Linked DNA regions of Danio rerio. The protein of the gene in region 1 binds, or shares a complex with, the protein of each later gene. Links are inferred from orthologs where the notes say so. Each region holds a gene or a part of one and is shown in the gene's direction. Other genes may lie near its edges.

Region 1 (4,987 bases):
AACTAGGTTTTATCATTTAATTTTTTGTTAGAGGTAATGTGTCTTGGTGTTAAATCTATCACAGTACTGAAAATCTGTGCCTGTACTGAATTCAAATCATCTGTTTTTCATTTCTAGCAAGCATACAGCTCACACGATCTCAAAGGGCTCAAGGTTCAACACAAGGTGGAGTCTTTTTCAGAGGGGCAAACAGTTGTGTTAACTTTACAAGACAAAGGTAAGCCAAAATGTTTCTGGGTATTGGTAAAAGTACTGTTCTGTTGCTTTAGATGAACCAGCATCTGTTAAATCGCTGACACCACCTACACACTCTCATGTGGGCGCACTTACAGTTTCTCTGTGTGGGTGATTTTCACAGGCGTTCTGGAAGAGGAGGAGGACGTACTGGTCAATGTGGGTCTGATCGACAAAGAGAAGGCAGAGAAAAACGTGGAGCTGAAGAAAAAGAAGCCAGATTATAAACCATACGAAGAAGAGGAGAGTGTGGATGACATGATCGTTGTAAGATTGCCCCAAAGTTTGAGATGATATATTTTCTAAATGCTTTTTTCAGGGCTTTAAATGAACCTTTTTGCTTTACTTAAAAAATATAGGAGCACCAGCCAAAATTTAGTCGTGACCACCAATTACGAACACAGTTTCTTCAAGTTTCATAAAAAAAGGTTAATGCATTTAAAATCGACACTAATCAAAACTAACAAACAAAAAATCTGCGACCACCAGCCCTGCATGCACTGCTTGACATGAATGAATCTTAGTTAAGAGTAATAACTGCTATTTTCAGGGGTGGTGTCTGATATTGCACTGTTGTTATTGAAATATAACTTATTATTTGCATATGTCATCTTAATAGCAATAACAGTCTTTTCATGAGCTGCAAAATTTCATCTTAGTGAATGCAAGTCCTTTTGCGATGGTGCACACGGTGTTACATTTTACATACAGCTTCCACTTCCATGGCTGACGATTAAATGGATTAAATAAAACCTCTCACACTTAAAGTGAGTAGATTTAGTGGCAAAGGCTATTACCTGCAAACTCCATCACACCTGCTTTACATTGAATGCTTCAATCATTTTATAGCGGACTTTAACTCAATGGAAGTCTTTTATCCACTCTTTTGAAAAGTGTAAATGGTGGATTAGCATTCATCACATGATCACTAATCAGATGTACCGTTATTTGTAAATTTAAGTGTTTTCTAGAACAAAATCTGTCAGTTCTCTCATCTTCAGCTCTTTCCATTTTTGCGCCTGTCATCTGAAGGCAGAAGCTATTGTTTGAGCGATTGACAGTTGATATTAACCAGTCCATTCACTTACAGTTCTAGAGCAGTGGGCCAATCAGAAAAGGGCGAGAGTGGGGCAAGTATTGGGCATTTTAGGTGCAAAGATGGATTGTGCATGAGTGCCCACGCATGTGGTGAACAATTTGCAATGAAAACTGGTCGCACGGCAACAATTTTATGCACTCGCACAAATGCTTCCGATTATATTTTGAGTGCGCATTGATGAAATTTCAGGCACATATGCGACCAAAACAATTTCGAGCCCTGTTTTTGTCTGCACAAGCTAGATTTTTTTCATAAAATTTGTATCAACTGCTACAAAAGTTAGTGTGGGTGGGGACATTTTCATTTTGCTGTCATCAAATGTCCCAACAAATGTATGGTCTAATTCTCCTTTGCAGCTAAATACCTCATTTTATACAGGTTTTTTTTACACTTATTTTTGATTTGTATCAAAAGAAATCTGCACATGGAGTTATGAGTTGTCTTCTTATCGAATGAGGACACATTCTCTTGAATAAATATGATACAGTGATGTATTACAGTGTAATCTTAAGTTCCAGTGCTATGCTTCATGCAAAAACAAGATTACGAGCTTTTTATATTCAAGAGCTTTGTTTTGTAAAATACATGAATTGTCGAGGATACAAGTATTATTCTTATCTATTACTCACAGAAATAGTGTATTGAAATATTTAATTTAAAATTAAATGTAACATCCCGTTTTTATGACAACCGTATACACATCCATGCTAATTCCACTGTCGAATAAAACTAAATATGCTTCAAATGGTTATCAAAATGATCAGATTTTCAGATTTAAACTTGACCAAGAAACTGTTTACAATAATTTCAATATCGTATGAATGCAACATAAGCATCACATTCTCCTAAAATGAAGCAACCGAGCAAAGCCAAAATTTACAAGAGAAGTCTGATGTCATGTCATCTTTCCTGAGCATTTAAATGAGCAAATATTTCCATGTAATATGCAAAATGGTGCTTTGTTTACAGTTTGTGTGTTGGAAGTACTAGTTTTTTTTGAATGAGCAACATTGATTATTTTAGATCATTTTCTGTATTTTATTCGCATGTAGTTCTTTTTGGTGTGTTAGAGTACAGCTGTTGGTCATAATTCCAGCAACACAAGAACACCATAAACTTTTGTCCTCACTAGTTCTTCAGATAAACACTCCACCTTTTTTGGAATTCATTTTACATCTCCCCTAAAGTTAAAACGATTGAGTTTTACCATTTTTCAGTTCCTTCTGCTGAGTTTCTGGTCTGGCAGGAGCACTTTCAGCTTAGCTTAGCTAAATCATTGAATCATTGAATATTACATTAGCATGTTCCTCAGAGTTTTGATCATTTTCCTATTTGAAGGTTGACACTTCTGTAGTAGATACATTACCTACTAAGAATTGAAATGAAATCAATATGGCTAGGAACAATATTCTCATTCTGGCACAACAATCAAGTATTTTTGCTGCAATAAAAATAATTTATTGTTATTTCCACTGTAGTATTTTTAAACTTTAAACCTTTATGTCATCTTTTTCCAGTTTAAGCCAAAGTCTGTGCTGTCCAAGTATGATGAGGAGATCGAGGGGGAGAAGAAAAAGAGCTTCAGGCTAAGTTCTGGAGGTTTTGTTGGAGGTGAGAGAGAGCGAGAGCTGCAGGCCATCAGAGAGAGTCTGCGCGATCAGGCCCAGTCTCTGAGCACGTCTGCCCTCACTCTTGCCACTGAATACTACACGCCACAGGAGATGGTGAGAACCACATTTCAGCAAGCTTGAATTCAAATTGTATTTTATTTTTGACTGATGGTTTTCTTTTTTCCCCCCCTAATGTGTGACTTAAGGTTGGCTTTAAGAAAACTAAACGTAAGGTCAAGAAAATCAGAAAGAAGGAGAAAGTACCCAGGGCTGACGAGCTCTTGGTTGACGACACTCGAAACTCAGATTTCGGATCCAGGTGAAGTTTTCACTCAGTTGTGTTAATGCAGGACACTGCAGGTGAAAATGGTGAAAAAAAATTATCAACTAATAGTTAACATCTTTACTAGTTGATGAATTACATTGACAATTGCAAACATTTTTATTTTACATAGCAAGTTTTCTAAGGTGCTGTATTAATATTCAAATGATGCATGATTTAATTAAACAAGCTAGTTTGCATTTCTCAAACTAAAATCTAAAAATTTGTTGAACTCTGGTTCAGAATGCTTATATTTCTATCAGTGTTAGAATTTTCATCATGTATTCACCCTAAAATCTTATTTATGTATTCATTTGTTTGTTGTTTTTAATTGTATATTTATTAATGTTCTTGCCATAAAAATAGCCTTGAAAATTAGAAATAAAAATTAGAGGTTTCATTTAAATGTATTGGTTCTGGTTAATATAAGAAATTTAATTTTAAATATGATTCTTTATAAACAAATTATTTACACTCCTTGTATCATCATCATTAGAATTATATTTTTTTGACAAATACGAATAGTAGATTTTTATAGGGGGGATCTGCGGAATTTACTTTTATCACTAATCATTTCTAAAGTACTATAAGCATTCAGAAAAACAATATTCATAGCTTTTTGTTTCATAAAAGTAATATGTATAATCAAACAAATAGTGTATGATCATATTCCTCTGCAAAAATCTTCAGAGTATAGATTTAGTGGTGCTAAAGTTTTATTTTGAGAAGATGGCTTTTGAAAAAGAAAATAAATACATTGTAATTAAACTGTGAGTGACCTGACACACTTAAAAGTGTATTTTAAACGTTTACTGCACTTAAGGTCGAAAAATAAACACTATAAAGCCCACAATCTCTAAAATGATTGAAGGTTATGATAAAATAATTATAATCTCTAAAACATGTTGATGTAAAATGACAAGGTGCATGTAAAACATATTTTCCTGCATTATCTTGGCTTAAATACTCGGGCAACAATACAGTTTTCCTGCATTTCTTGGCTTAAATACTCCAGCAACAATACTAATATTTTAACACAATCATTCTGGCTCTCAGGTCTCGAGGTCGAGGTAGAAAAGCAGCAGATGAGGAGGAAGAGGCAGTGCCCGGTGATGTTGTTATAGAAAACATCAGCAAGTCCAGAAATGTCCTCCAGCAGTCAGATGACATTAGAATGGCCGATATGGACATTAGTGATGAGGGTAAGAGAAAACGTCTTCATGTCCAAATTTAAAACTCTTTTTCCTTTTTTCTTTTAAGGCATCTGTTTCTCTCTAGGGGTCTTTGCTTTGATATTCAAATGAGTTGGATCACTATTCTCGGCACTCACAGTGTTTCTCCTTGTCTTTCTCAGAGGATTTTGTCCCCCCAGAGCCGTCTGCTTTAGAAGAGGATGAAGCTGAGCAAGAGCTCCAGAAACAGCTTGAGAAGCAGAGATTACTCCGACAAAAACAGATGCTTAAAGATTCCGGAGAAAGGGTGAGCACTGGATGCTACTAAAGCAAAATAACAAAAAGAATACATGTTTTCCTTATCATTTCATAGTCATTTCATTTTTTTTATATTGTTTCATGCAGTGTAATGACATCAAAATCTGTATGATTTGCTGTGGGTGGTCATTTGTTTGTAACTTATTTATTTATGGTTTGGTTATGGGTAAAGCAAAGACCATGTAGGTCAGGTAGTGAAAACGGTAGGCTACAATGAACTAATTAGTTATGA
Region 2 (5,523 bases), on another chromosome or scaffold:
TTACAGACCACAGAAGAGGGCAAACTCTTCAGCAGGATAGCACTTCTCTTACTTTAGCCTCCTCATCAAAGTTCCTGAAAGCAAAGAAGGTCAAGGTGCTCCAGGATTGGCCACCCCAGTAACTAGACATGAACATTATTGAGTTTATCTGGGATAAGATGGAGGCGGCTTTGAAGATGAATCTAAAGAATCTTGATGAACACTGGGAGTCCTGCAAGAACGCTTTCTTTGCCATTCCTGATGACTTTATTATTAAGTTAATTGAGTCTTTACAAATTCCTCCATCAAAGATGAGACCTTTTATCAATGTTTACATTTTAAACGAGTGGCAAGAAGAATGGGATGCATTGGAAAATTATAAATTATATGAAATTCAACCTGAAATCTCACACAGAAGACATTTTAAGACTAGATTTGATCAAGTTGTTTTTACTAGATGTTGTATTGGACAGAAGAATAACCCATGTTTTTTGTTCCAAGGTGAAAACCCTAAGAAGTCAAGTTATTATTTGTTGTTCCTAAAACTTAAATAGGCGACAAGACTTTTGTCAGGTAGAATATATACACTTATATATCTAAAGCATGCTATAAAGTTTTACAATTGTTAATTCTTTTATAGAAATTAGAGTCGACAGATTTTGATGAGAAAAAGAAGATAAACAAAAGGAAGCAGATGATTCTGGATGGAAAAGTGAGTTATTTTTAAAAAAAACTTGTATATTTGTATGTTTCTTATAAAGTATTTTTGTGTACATGCATAATTTTACAATTTTTTTTCCTTGATTTAATTTTAAATCTATTGCAGGATCCTGATTTGGAAGAAAAAAGGAAAAATGAATTAGAGAAGATCCGAGGAAAAAATAAGAAACTCAAAGGAAAAAACCCCCAGAGCAAAAAGGAAAAGAAAAAACATGAGAAAAGTGCAAAAGCGACAGAAGTTGGCTCTTAATTTCCTCTCTTTTGTACAATTTAATATTATGTATATAGCGTGAATATGCTTATATTTAATAAACATGTGATGCAGTGTTGACTGTGTTGCTACATGAATGAATGAATCTGTGTTGATTTTTTTATTTTATTTTATTTATTGCTTTTTTCTGTGATTTCCTACATCTTTTGGGTTTAAAATTTTTTTTCACAATTTAGAGTTTTTACACTTTTTTTTTATTTTATAGCATGTCCACTGTAGTGGACCACAGGACCATTTTAGATAGAGGTAAAGCTGTTTTTCTATTCACATATTCCTTTATTTAGAAGTCTCTATATTGTTTACCATGTTACTTTGAATATTCGATCGGAATTAGCATGCAAGTCTGACTTCTAAACAACATTAACACTATCTAAATCACTGTAAACAATGCTGTACTTTAATAATCATTGGCTACTAATACGATTTCCCAATTTAAAATTTGCTAAGAAAACTTTTCTAAAATTATATTACTAAGGGGAAAGTCTGAATGCGAATATAAAACCAACTTTACCTCTATCCATTTTGGTTCAAAACAACCGCCAAACTCGGACAACAAAACTCTACAGGATATGGCTGTAAAGGGATATTAATCCAATATCAATGTAACAAAAAGAAAACAAAAGCCATTTTTTCCTTTTGTGTTGAAATTCCTGAAACAGTTTAGTCTAAAAGAGAGCCAAACTCAAAAGAAAAAAAGAGGTGATGTTAATTCAAAACAAATTTAACATAAAAGGTATTTATTTAATTGTCTGATTGTCAGACTTTAAATCCGAGTCTCCCTCAACTATCTTATAAAGAATCCTTTCTGCTTCCATTCTGCCCCTACAACATGCAGTCATTAATTACATTAATATGGTCCTGGTGTCCTTGAAACTTTCTGCATGAAGGACTCATAAATGGCAGATTAACCTGCTGCTGGATGATGTGTGGATGATTTACACGGGGCATAACTAAGCAACACAGCGATCTGTTAAGGAGGAAGTAGTAAGTCTCAAAGCTTGCATACTCTTTTGTTGCACACTCAAAAGTATAAACTTTTCCTTTACAAAAAAGTACATACTTTTTAGGGCGTAGTATAAATATGTGATTTGGGACGCAGCGTTTTGGGACTTTTGCTTTGACAACTTCCGCTTTCACCTGGAAGTACAACAGTAAGTGGTTTGCAGATCGCCTTGTGCTGCGAAGAAGATTCACAGAAAATCATTTGTGATTGAAGTCTTCAGTGGATTAAAACTTCATATAAAGACTGATTGGTCATTCAGCTGACATGGTGAGATGAAGTCGATAAACTTACTGGCTAACGTTAGTGAAATTAAGATTTTCCGCTGTGTTTATTGGATGATCTGTAGGTCGGTTAACACCGATTACGCGCAGAAACAAAGCGTTGTGTAAACGTTTTATTTGGGTGTATACACGAATCTTTACAAGCACGTTACGTACTTATTTAGTAAAATAGATAAAATTAGTTAAAAATCAATGTAGACGGCTATTATACATTTATTACTCTATTAAATTATCTCTACAGACATGCGAGGAACTTCAGAAGTCAGAAAGGTTTTGGCGTAGTTTTATCAAGAATATCCAAAGTCGGTTTTATATTCGCACATTCGTTCAGTGACAACTTGTGACATGCTCCCTACCTTGTTTACCATGGTACTTTAAACATTTGGTCTAAAATCACATGCAAGTATACTTGTGTATATGACTTGAAAACATCATTAGTGACCAGCCCGTCAACAACCATGCCACCTTCATAGTCACTTAAATCCCCTTTCTTCCAGCTTTCTGATGCTCGATTTAAACTAACGTTACAGCAGATCATCTTGACCATGTGTACATTCCTGAAGGCATTTCGATTCCGCCATGTGATTGGCTGATTAGAAATTTACGTTAATGAGCAGTTCGACTGGTGTACCTAATAAAGTGGACAGTGAGTGAATGTTTAAAATATATAAGCAATGGTACCTAAATAATCAAGTAAATCATCTTGCATATAGAGGTAAGTTTAGTTTTATATTCGCATATTCAGACTTTCCCCTTAATAATATAATTATAGAAAAGTATTCTTTGCAAATTCTAAATTGGAAAATCAAATTAGCAGCCAAATGATTATCAAAGTACAGCATTGTTTACAGTCAATTAGATGGTGTTAATGTTGTTTAGAAGTCATGTTTGCACGCTAATTCCGATCAAATATTCATGTTAAACATTATAGGGACTTCTAAATGAACGAAAATGCGAAAATAAAACTAACTTTACCTCTATATCTTACGTCAATAGTTTTTTTTGCATTATTATATATGCAGCAGAGAATGCAATTCGCTCCTGTTATGGCTTATATGAATAACAGGACTGAGTTTTTAACATTTAATGATCAAATACATGCTAAATGCTGTACGCTGTAATCTCTCGGCTGTGTATTTTAAACATGGCAGGTTTTTTGTTTTCATTCTGGCTTATTGCGTAGACGAATGACGTATTTCTGTAAACCTAGAACATTCAGTTGCACATCTAGCTCCGCCTTTTGGTACCCTTTCTCGTGTTTGGTATCCTTTCGAAATGGTGCCTAAGAAGTGGTACAGTTCGGTTCGCCTTTTGACAGTGCAAATGGCCATAAAAGCGTACCAAACCGAACCGTACCACTCAGTGAAAACAGGCCATAAGCGATTTGTTTTTCAAATATTTGCTGAATCGTGGGCTAACCGGTGTCTTGAGATGTAGAGGGTCCTTTTCTGCTGGAGATAGTGTTGCTAAATGAAAACTAAATGAAATCAAACAATCAAACAAAACTTGCATATAACATAGAAAAAATATCTGAAAAATAATAGCAATTTTAAAATTTTAAGTTTTCCAAACCGCTGTTAACCTTGAACCCAGTTATTGTCCTATATGCTCAGTCCAGGGTCACATATTCTGGTTAGTGAGTGTAATCTCCAATTGAATAACAATTAACAATATTCCATTGTGAGCACAGAAGAAACTCTTCATTTACTCTGTTGTTAGCATGACCACTCGAATTCTTTCTTTTTCTTTTCTAGCTCCCGTTATCTTTACTGAAGACGGCACAGAACCACCCGATGGTGAGTATCAAGCAGCTCACTTCATGCGTGCATCTTTATTGTCAGCACGAAGTTAAAGGTGCCATGATCAGGGATCATACTGTCCTGAAAAGTCATGGAATTTTGACAAGGCATTTTCCAGGCCTGAAAATGATTTGGAAAAACAAATAAACCCAAAATGTTATAACGATGGTTTGTTCTGTAGACTATTAGAAAGATATATAGCTTAAAGGGGCTAATAATATTGTCCCTAAAATGTTTTTTTATTTATTTAAAACTGCTTTTATTTAAGTAAAACAAATAGGACTATATATATATATATATATATATATATATTTATTTATATATATATATATATATATATATATTTATTTATTTATATATATATATATATATATATATATAGTACTTCAATTAAGAGCAGAGAGGGATTTTCTCGTTGTTTTATTAATTATGATAAAACAGGCGGCAGCTATTGTGCTCTGTCACTTTAATGGTTTCGCTTTCACGCGTCATTTGATTCTCAACTCATTTGTTTATTACACAAATGAGGGTTAATATGAATAATCACTAAATACTGCGTTTTGACACCTGTTTGAACATTAAAGCGCTCACGTTAATGACTTTAGATGTGTGTGCTCTCTGCTCGTCGCAATGTGCGAATAAGACCAACTGCTGACCGCATGCTTCTGACTGTGTCTGTGCGGCGCACACACACAAGCATGTGGTCTTTCGCGCTTTTAAGAGCAACAAGTGAGGACAATTGGACGGGGGCGGTAAATAATGGAATAATCGTTTATCTCGATTAATGTTTTTTTATAATCGTTAGAAGCCGAAATCGAATTTTCGATTAATTGCACAGCCCTAAAATGAAGTGCTGAACAATAATTGAGCTTTTAAGTTAATCTGCTTTTCTTTTCAGCTGGTTGAGTTAAAGAATGGCGAGACATACAACGGCCATCTGGTCAGCTGCGACAACTGGATGAATATAAACTTGAGAGAAGTTATTTGCACTTCACGGGTAAATACGACTTCATTCAGATGAAAACGTCTTTGGGAGACTATTGATTCCTTACAAAATTAAGCAAAACACTTGTTTGTTTTATTTAAACAAATCTGCAGGTTATTTATTTGTCTTGCTGAAATGTGACGGCTGTTTTTTCTGCTTGCTCTGATTTGCAGGATGGAGATAAGTTTTGGAGGATGCCAGAATGCTACATAAGAGGAAGCACCATTAAATACTTGCGAATCCCTGATGAAATTATAGATATGGTGAAAGAGGAAGTGGTGTCAAAGGGCCGTGGCCGGGGTGGCATGCAGCAGAATAAGCCACAAGGAAAGGGCAGAGGAGGTGGACCTGGAAGAGGTGGCGGACCTGGCAGAGGTCTGATGCTTTTATATTCATACAATAGATCATATCATATAATCATTCCAGACATATATAGCCCTCCTTTTCCCCCAAGTTCTGTTTACTGAGAGATTTTTTTCAGGACA
Region 3 (5,506 bases), on another chromosome or scaffold:
TTGTGTATTAAACATATTTTTTATTCATTCATTCATTTTCTTTTTGGCTTAGTTCCTTTATTAATCTGGGTCACCACTGCGGAATGAACCACCAACCTATTCAGCATTTATGCAGCAAATGCTCTTCCAGCTGCAGCCCATCACTGGGAAACATCCACACTCATTCACACACATAGACCTACACTACGGACAATTTAGCTTACCCAATTTACCTAGCCCTATACAACATGTTTTTGGACTTCCACACAGAAATGCCAACTGACCCAGCCGGGGCTGTGAACCAGTAACCATCTGGCTTTGAGGTGATTGTGCTACCCACCGCTCCACCATGCAGCTAAATTTTTTATGTATTTCAAATGTGGGTCAAGAAACCATGTAGCCCATATATCAATATTTAACATCTGGGCCAAATAGCCTTCTACATTTGACATCTGGACCATGTCATGCGTGCCACCTTAAAGGCAGTGCTACCTGGCAAACCTGACCCCTGTTTGGCTTACATGCTGTATGCCAGTGCTGAATAAATGAATGCTATGACGAGAGGGTCTGGGTGCAGACCTGGTGCAGTGCAATCTGAGTTGCATACAATACTTTTTAATAGCCCCATCTAACCCCACCCCTAACCCTACCCATCACAGTGACGTCACTTGCTCCATTTGAGTGCATTGTGTCTGACACTGTATCGCTGATTGATGCAATCTTAGCTTGCATCATAAAGGCTGCATATTGGCTATGCCAGCTTTATACCAAATCTGGGCCAGAATTCCTTGTTACCTGGGTATTGATGTTTCAAGTCTGAATACAACCTTAGGCCTATAATGATTTTTTTTTACTCTGGAAGTGGAACAGTTACAGTATTGTCAAGTTTTACAAAAAATGGAAACCTATTGTGGAAGTGTACTGTGTTCTGTGTTTTGGTTTCCGATTTGGTCCGTCATTCCATCAGAGAGGAGATACTGGGAGATGGAAAAATTAATCAAGCTATAATCAAGCTATAAAACTCCAAATTACCGTGACAAATTACTGTGACATACAGTTTGGTAGCCTATATGATGCAACATTTTGACTGACTGACATGCCCTTTAAAAGAAAAAACTTGGGTAACACTGCTCTAATGTTACAGCCACAGGCTGTACAAAAAGCCAAGCCCCTCTCATGCTATCGATGTAAACAAAGTAGTAATCTGTTCAGATTCATCTTCAGCCTTAGTTAGTATAGCAAACTCAAAATCAGATAGAGAGGATTTAATAACAGAAATCTATTTATCTTTATATAGATTAAAGGAAATAGGAGTAGTCGTTTATTTCTGCTGGGTTCCATCACATATTGGGGTATCTGGTAATGAAGTTGCTGACAAATTAGCAAAGGAAGCACTAAATAAGCAAGAGGAAGTAAATGTACCTCTGGGGAAAAGAGAGGCAAAATCGATTTTAAAGGAAAAACTAATAAATAAATGGCAAATTAGATGGGATAATAGTAATACTGGAAGATGGCACTATAGTATTATACAGACAGTAGGGACAACACTAAATCAAGGAAGAAATAGGAAGGAAGAGGTGTGGTTATCAAGATTAAGATTGGGACACACAGGGTTAAATGCAACACTTGCGTTAATGGGTTTACATGAGGATGGGAAATGTGATGTATGTGGTGTAACTGAAAATGTGGATTATGCACTATTTATATGTAGCAAATATAATAAACATCGCAATATGTTATTCAGTCAGTGTGGGGAAGATAAAACAATATATAAAATTATTCTAGGAAAAGGTATAATAGATTGGCAAGTATATAGAGCGTTTATTAGGTATATAGAGTATTCGGATTTAGGTTATTATAGTCTTATATTTATGGATGAGAGTATTCTCAATCATTGTCATAAAGGCCCTTTATGTTAGAGGAGCTGAACACGCAGTGCTGACATGAGTATGTGGTCTAGATGCAAAGATTGGACAATATGAAACATCCAAGGTGTTTTTTTCCCCCCTTTCCCTCCCTCCTCGTTTCTTTTTGTTGCCCTTTCATCGGAGTAAGATTCGGTACAGTAGGTGGCGATAATGCTTTTAATTGTTAGTCGCCATAAAACAGAAAGAAGAAGAAGAAGAAGATGCTATCGATGTGTGCTGATATCGATTATCCATGCTTGTAATTGGCTTCCGGTCCCGATTATTCAGGTCTGTTATCAAAATGGCGGCAATCACAGCAACGAATCCTTCGCAGCTTTTACCACTCGGTTTGTTTCACTTTCTTTAAAATTGCTTATCATTTACTGACATAACTTTTGTGTTTTTGTACGGGGCAGAGATGCCAATCAGTCACGTTCGTAACTCACTTTGCTTTTTTATCTAATTGAATACACCTGTGCACAAAAGATGTGGCCCTAATCATGTCAATGTGTTTTTATTTTAACTTAAATATTTAATTTCACAAATTTATACATCAATGTGTGATTGATTATATATAAACGGAAGCCAGTTCATTTAGTTAGTGTGGGCGAAAAAAATAAATCACTAATATGTTTCCCTCTGTTGGAGTTTAAAATATTGTAATTATGACTTGGGAACACATTTATCATTAACAATTTCCATTAAGATGTATTTATAAGTAAGATACTCTGAAAATAAAATTTTATGTATGAGTTACGACATTAGAGATACCGTGTCAAATGATTAAAAGCCACTCCACTCTTTACTCGCAGGATTTTTTTGTTGTTGAGTCAAATAAGCCTAAAATTAGTACTTTAAAGAATGAATTTGGTATTAACATATTACTCAATCCCACACCTAGTGTTAAAGCCAAAGAAATTTTAAATTTTATTAAACGTGGTTCGTTAAAAACTTACCTTGGCTGTATAGTTGTTGAAGTAACGTTTAACATAAATTGAATTTCTTTACAAGGTTTTACAGTTGTATATCACACTGACCACTCAAAATGTTTCCTTTAACAGCCAATGATGTGACTGTGTTTATGATGGGGATTGTGTGCTGTCTTTCAGAGCTGGTGGATAAGTGCATTGGCTCTCGGATTCACATCGTTATGAAGAACGATAAAGAGATTGTGGGAACTCTGCTTGGGTTTGACGACTTTGTCAGTATCCTTTACCTACTGGCGGTAAAAAAATAAACAAAACACTGTCAAATATTTGTGATGTTTACAATTTAGTTTTGGATTCAACTTTTTTTTTTTTTTTTTTTTTATAAATACTGCTAGCTAAAGATATAGTTACACATAAGATTTCCCTTTATTTCCCTTAGTCCGTTTATTAATCTGGGGTCGCCACAGCGGAATGACTCGCCAACTTATTTAGCATATGTTTTACGCAGCGGTTGCTCTTCCAGGGTGGAAAATGGCATAACGGCAGCAATGGTTACTGAACAACAACGTTGTGGAATCAGTCTGCCTAAAGAATGTTCATTAGCCTGTGCTTTAGTTTTAGCATTTTAATATAAGAAAATGTCCAACAAAAGAACTCTATCATATTTACAGACTCCAAATCATGCCTCCAAGTGATGGAATCTTCAGAAAATGATCATCCTTTGATTAATGATATTATAACTAAAGTTCACCATTTACAAAACCATTTTTTTTCATATTTTTTTTTTTTTTTTTTTGCTGGGTTCCGGGACATGTTGGGCTTTCAGGAAACGAGCGAGCTTGATCCAGCAGCTAAGGATGCTTTGAAATAAGTTGTGAACGAATGCCAAATTCCTCTTTTAGAGATGAAATCTTTTATCAACGTTTACTTTTTAAATAAGTGGCAAGAGGAGTAGGATGCATTGAGAAATAATAAACTGTATGAAATACAACCTGAAATCTCAAACTGAATTTTTAGTCATTTTAAGACTAAATTTGATTTAGTGATTTTTACTAGATGTTGTATTGGACATGCAAGAATGATCCATGCTTTTTTTTTTTGCTCAAATGTGAAGACCCTGCTCAATATTTGCACATCACACTTTCTTTTACAGTAAAACAGATTTTACTGGATTGTCCTGCTTTTAACAATTCCAGAAGGCTTTTTTTTTTTTTTTATCAAATGATGTCTCTTCAGGACATTTTTAGCAAAATGACACCTGGAAAATAGTAAAAAAATTATAAAAAAATGTATTAGCATTTAAAGATGTATTTAATTTATGTATTCATTTGTTTTTGTTTTTTAATTGTATATTTATTATTGAAATGTTCTTGCCATGAAAATAGCCTTGCATTGCTGACATGGCATTAAATAAAAAAATACAATACACTACATCACATGTTGTCAACAGAGAAATGTAAATGTCTATGTAATGTTATCTTTGCGATGTTGTACATTTCCTTGATGCTTTACATCAGACATGGTCCTAGAGGATGTCACAGAATTGTAAGTATATTTCCTAAACAAAAATATTAAATATTTGCTTAATTGTCTTTGCACAGTGTATTCATGCATTCTCTTCTGCTTTGACTTAAAGGATAGTTCCCTCAAAAATTTTAATTGTCAACATTTACTCAACCTTCTATTGTTCTAAATGCTGTTCGAGTTTCAAACGATCAGTATCCTGTCTCCAAAATTTTAGGTGTTTGTTTTATTAGGATAAACTATCAATAAAAAAAGCACTTTCGTTCTAGAGATTAACTAAAGCTCAAGTTTTATACCATTAGACTATTTATACTGTATTCTAATTATTCTATAAACTATACTGCATAGAGAAGGCATTTTCTAATCTTTTTAGAAACTTTTTTTAAAGTATGCTTAGTTAGAAGTTCAATGGTATTAGCAAATTTTTATCACTATTGAAACCGTTTAATATTTTGTGACATTATTATTAAAGAATAATTCCAAGTATTATCATTGATTAAAAAAAAAAAAAAATCAATTGAATGTGAAGTGTACTTGAATGTGAAGTGTACACTCATGTATTCAAGATGCAAGGAAAATTGGATTATGAAGTATTTTCACAAGAATTTATAGATGTAGGTTACATTTTTGAACACTTGGTATTAAATATTTCCTCATCTCGGGCTTGTGTGTTTGTATCACAGTGAAATCACACCAGAGGGAAGAAGAATCACAAAACTGGATCAGATTCTCCTTAATGGCAATAACATCACAATGGTATGACAAATAAGTTCATCTGCAAGTAATCTCATGCATGCACCAGCAAACAATATTTGCTTTAATGTCATTTTAATTTTTTTTCATTATTTTAAAATGTAATTTTTAATGCAAGTTTATGTACATTTTCTGTTGTCAGAAGTGTTCTGTTTTGGCATTTTGTAAACTTATTTCAATTTTACATTTTTATAAACAAAAACAAAGAAGTTTGCTTCTGTCATTTTAATAATTAGCTTTTTTGCTATTCCAGTTTAATCTCATATTATTTATAATGTACCTAGGGTGTGAATTATACATTGACAAATCGGTGTCAGTGGTCCACTTTTTCAGTAATGTTAGTGTAATACAAGCTTCTGTGAACCAAATTTATATATTTAATTCAAAAACATCTAATTTATTAATCAAACTTAT
Region 4 (4,336 bases), on another chromosome or scaffold:
TCCCATATTGCAACATTTATTGCAAATTAAAATCTCACACTATCAAATTTTTCTAAAATTGTGCAGCCCTAGTTTACATGCACAGGCTTGTGTTGATATGATTAAACTTTTGAATATCTGTGTTGCAATAGTTTTCTGAACAAAGTATCTGCAGAGTAATAGTTGCATTTTGTGTCAACATAACCTATGCTTGTGTCTCCTGTTTGCTATAGGATTTGCTAAGATGTGTATTTTATTTGCTACAAATAAATTATATTGAATTATTTAATGATTTTGCTGAATATTTTCCCAATACTACCATGTAATATATAAACATAATATAAATTATTACTATATAATATCTAAACTATTACTATATAATATATAAACTATTACAATATAATATATGAACTTTTAATATAAGATATTTAATATATAAACATATTATTAACTTTTCCTATATAATATATAAACCATGAATATATAAGATATATAATATATAAACTAGGCTTGGGCGGTATCCAACCGGCGGTATACCGTCAAATCTCCTCCCTATTTTAACCAGGTATCCGGTATTACCAAGCATAATAAACAAAATTACGACGTAAGGCTCAGACAGCGTCACCAAATTGTGCCTAAACCATTCAGAAACTGATACCGTATATGCGACCTTAGGTTTGCGGTCACCTGTTTGTCTTGTTTGTATTCTTCTGCGTAGGACGCTCTTTCTTCAAACACACACACACACACACACACAGAGATAGAGAGAAAAAGAAGAGAGAGAACCAAGCAACACCCAGCAACTCTCTTTCTCTCTCTCTCTCTCTCTCTCTCTCTCTCTCTCTCTCATTCACACACACACAAACACACACCGAGAGAGAGCACCAAGTGACACACGCAGATTGCATATTCGGAAATGTATTCCTGCACAACAAGAAATCGGGTTGTCCCCCGCGGTACAGCAGCAGGAATGCAGACCTCTAGTTCATATTTACCACGTCTTCCTTCTTGTTCGGTCGAATCCGGAAATACTGCCAAACTGCAGGTCACTTAGTGCGCGACTCGCCACCTCAACTCTCCCTCCCTCTCTCTCCTCCACACTGTCCCGTGATGACAATCACGCATACTTATTTGTAGGCAATAAATAAAGGATATTTAATATTGAATACTTGTCTACTATTTAAATTCAATGTTTTTTATGACGGTATAACGGTACTGAAACTGACACCGTGGCTATTTTTAGATCCTGCGGTATACTATATTACTGTATTACCGCCCAAGTCTAATATAAACATAATTATTAACTATTACTTAATAGTATATAAACTATTACTATATAACATATATAATATATAAACATTATATTAACTGTTACTATATAATAAATAAACTATTACTATATAACATATATAATATATAAACATAATATTAACTATTATTATATAGTATATAAACTATTACTATATAACATATATAATATATAAACATAATATTAACTATTATTATATAGTATATAAACTATTACTATATAACATATATAATATATAAACATAAAATTAACTGTTACTATATAATATATAAACTATTACTATATAAGATAATATATAAACATAATATGAACTATAATTATATAGTATATAAACTATTACTATATAACATATATAATATATAAACATTATATTAACTGTTACTATATAATAAATAAACTATTACTATATAACATATGTAATATATAAACATAATATTAACTGTTACTATATAATATATAAACTATTACTATATAACATATAATATATAAATATAATATTAACTGTTACTATATAATAAATAAACTATTACTATATAACATATAATATATAAACATAATAACTGTTACTATATAATATATAAACTATTACTATATAACATATAATATATAAACATAATAACTGTTACTATATAATATATAAACTATTAATATATAAGATAATATATAAACATAATATTAACTATTATTATATAGTATATAAACTATTACTATATAACATATATAATATATAAACATTATATTAACTGTTACTATATAATAAATAAACTATTACTATATAACATATATAATATATAAACATAATATTAACTGTTACTATATAATATATAAACTATTACTATATAACATATAATATATAAATATAATATTAACTGTTACTATATAATAAATAAACTATTACTATATAACATATAATATATAAACATAATAATAACTGTTACTATATAATATATAAACTATTACTATATAACATAATATATAAACATAATAATAACTGTTACTATATAATATATAAACTATTAATATATAAGATAATATATAAACATAATATTAACTATTACTATATAGTATAAACTATTACTATATAACATATAATATATAAACATAATATTAACTGTTACTATATAATATATAAACTATTACTATATAGTATATAAACTATATATAAACAATTTTTTTCATAACACAGTATGCTCTCTCTATTGTAATACATTTGACATGTTCTTAATAAGCATCATAAGCATTTACATAAGATGTCCAGTTTAAGGTATAAGGGGATATATTTAAATCCCACCCAATACTTCACCATTTCTAACACTTCACAAAAGTCTTAAAGAAATCTTATTAACAATTTTGTTTCAGTCTCATCCTCCAGCGCATATCTCATGTTGATGGTGTTATTTCAGGTCCGCACCACTCATTATTTTAGTTGGAGTGAGTCATCTACATGGCTGCATGTCAAGTTGTTGTCTGTTTTCTCTCGTGTTCTCAGGCATTGTAATATGGTTCTGGAGAATGTGAAAGAAATGTGGACAGAGGTGCCCAAGAGCGGCAAAGGCAAGAAGAAGTCAAAGCCAGTGAACAAAGATCGCTACATCTCCAAGATGTTCCTGAGAGGCGACTCGGTCATCGTGGTGCTGAGGAACCCACTCATCACAGGGAAATAAAGCTGACGTGTAACACGACTGTTCAAGTACAGGCTGTCTCCTGGACACACACTCACTCACACAACTGTGTTAAAAGTGCTAATTAGGCTTTTCAGCTAATTAATTATTACTTCATACACAGAATGCCTTGAGCTGAAACAATAATGTTTAGCTGGAAAACGTTTAACATCATCTGGAGAGATTGTCTGGTCAACAAAATGATAAAGATGTTGGAGTTAATTTTGTTGTTGTTATTGTTTTGTCATTTGTGATTTGTTTTCTAAATAAATTTTTGGATATTCAAGTCTTGATCTATTCAATCTATTGTATGACTCTAGGATGTAGGCATGGAACGATAACCGTTTTCAAGGTATACTGCTGTTCGGAAAAGTCAAGGTATTAAAACCGTCATCATTATCTTTTCATTTGTGTCTAGGGTGTATGTAGGATAATATAGTAAATAGTTTATTTCCTTTTTTTTTTTTTTTTTTTTTTTTTTAGGACAACATTATCTCCAGCTGGAAAAATATTCAAAGATGTCATTTTAAATTGTAAAGAAATCTGTGCTTTTGAAACTAATGAAAACAGCAGAAGTCAATGATTCATTTTCATTATTTATTTAGCCTGACATTTTTACTGTATGAATCCCTTTACATGATCTTCCAGCATTATACAAATTATTTATAGAAGTAACCGACCCATCAGAAAAAAAACTTTAATATTTAGCCCTGTATAAGTCTAAAATTTCACTCATGGTCTTAAGAGTCTTAAAGTCTTGCACTTGATTTGAAGAAACCTGCAGAAACCCTGATGTTGTGCTTCCCAATCTGGCCATTATTGCACATCAGCAACAGCAACAATCCTAATCTCAATACCAAACTTTAACCTTTTTATTTAAAAGGGTCATTTTTAACTCTGTTTTATCATAATGATTTAATTATTTTCCTTACAAAAACATTTGTTTAAAAGTGCTCCATATATTTACTGCTGACACCAACTTGGACAGATTGTGTATAGATTTAGTTTATTAACATTTGATCAGTTGTTTAAAGAGAGTGTATTTTGCTTGCTTGTTTTTATACAATGTTTAAAATATTTTGCCAAGAAATGTCTAAAATATTTAAAAATAAAATGTTATTATAAAATTATTATTGTATTATTAAATGTGTTGAGATGCAGAAACCTTTAAGCACCATCAGAAATTTTCCTCTTAAATGTGCATTTTTCCTTAGCCTTCTGTGTTTGAAAAAATTTGAAATTACTGAACCTACACAATCACCTGAGAAAAATGCATAGAGGTTTTTGCATCTGAAATCTTGATGTATTAAATTATAAAAAATATACTATCCGCTTGTTAAGTGTGAAGCAAAGCGTCTCCGGGTCCAAGCGCTCTGTTCAACTGAAT

What was found.
Region 2: sart1 (region 1) and lsm4 share a complex: the UniProt entries of both Homo sapiens proteins name them as parts of the U4/U6-U5 tri-snRNP complex. The link is inferred for Danio rerio from reciprocal best matches to the Homo sapiens genes SART1 and LSM4.
Region 3: sart1 (region 1) and lsm5 share a complex: the UniProt entries of both Homo sapiens proteins name them as parts of the U4/U6-U5 tri-snRNP complex. The link is inferred for Danio rerio from reciprocal best matches to the Homo sapiens genes SART1 and LSM5.
Region 4: sart1 (region 1) and snrpd2 share a complex: the UniProt entries of both Homo sapiens proteins name them as parts of the U4/U6-U5 tri-snRNP complex. The link is inferred for Danio rerio from reciprocal best matches to the Homo sapiens genes SART1 and SNRPD2.

Annotation. Positions count from the first base shown.
Region 1 is NC_133196.1:30,350,668-30,355,654, forward strand, and holds part of sart1 (U4/U6.U5 tri-snRNP-associated protein 1), read left to right. Parts: intron 1-117; coding exon of another isoform or gene 118-217; 5' UTR 218-269; coding exon 270-283; intron 284-332; coding exon 333-501; intron 502-2,850; coding exon 2,851-3,057; intron 3,058-3,149; coding exon 3,150-3,262; intron 3,263-4,321; coding exon 4,322-4,467; intron 4,468-4,619; coding exon 4,620-4,744; intron 4,745-4,987. UniProt on the Homo sapiens protein: Plays a role in mRNA splicing as a component of the U4/U6-U5 tri-snRNP, one of the building blocks of the spliceosome. May also bind to DNA.
Region 2 is NC_133186.1:6,965,324-6,970,846, reverse strand, and holds the start of lsm4 (U6 snRNA-associated Sm-like protein LSm4), read left to right. Parts: upstream 1-2,122; 5' UTR 2,123-2,237; coding exon 2,238-2,240; intron 2,241-4,008; coding exon 4,009-4,050; intron 4,051-4,951; coding exon 4,952-5,050; intron 5,051-5,211; coding exon 5,212-5,413; intron 5,414-5,523. Other genes in the region: probable ATP-dependent RNA helicase DDX49, read left to right, coding at 620-691, 806-949. UniProt on the Homo sapiens protein: Plays a role in pre-mRNA splicing as component of the U4/U6-U5 tri-snRNP complex that is involved in spliceosome assembly, and as component of the precatalytic spliceosome (spliceosome B complex).
Region 3 is NC_133187.1:13,906,147-13,911,652, reverse strand, and holds the start of lsm5 (U6 snRNA-associated Sm-like protein LSm5), read left to right. Parts: upstream 1-2,105; 5' UTR 2,106-2,187; coding exon 2,188-2,233; intron 2,234-2,995; coding exon 2,996-3,091; intron 3,092-4,332; coding exon 4,333-4,360; intron 4,361-5,022; coding exon 5,023-5,095; intron 5,096-5,506. UniProt on the Homo sapiens protein: Plays a role in pre-mRNA splicing as component of the U4/U6-U5 tri-snRNP complex that is involved in spliceosome assembly, and as component of the precatalytic spliceosome (spliceosome B complex).
Region 4 is NC_133193.1:43,800,756-43,805,091, reverse strand, and holds the end of snrpd2 (small nuclear ribonucleoprotein Sm D2), read left to right. Parts: intron 1-2,777; coding exon 2,778-2,952; 3' UTR 2,953-3,235; downstream 3,236-4,336. UniProt on the Homo sapiens protein: Plays a role in pre-mRNA splicing as a core component of the spliceosomal U1, U2, U4 and U5 small nuclear ribonucleoproteins (snRNPs), the building blocks of the spliceosome.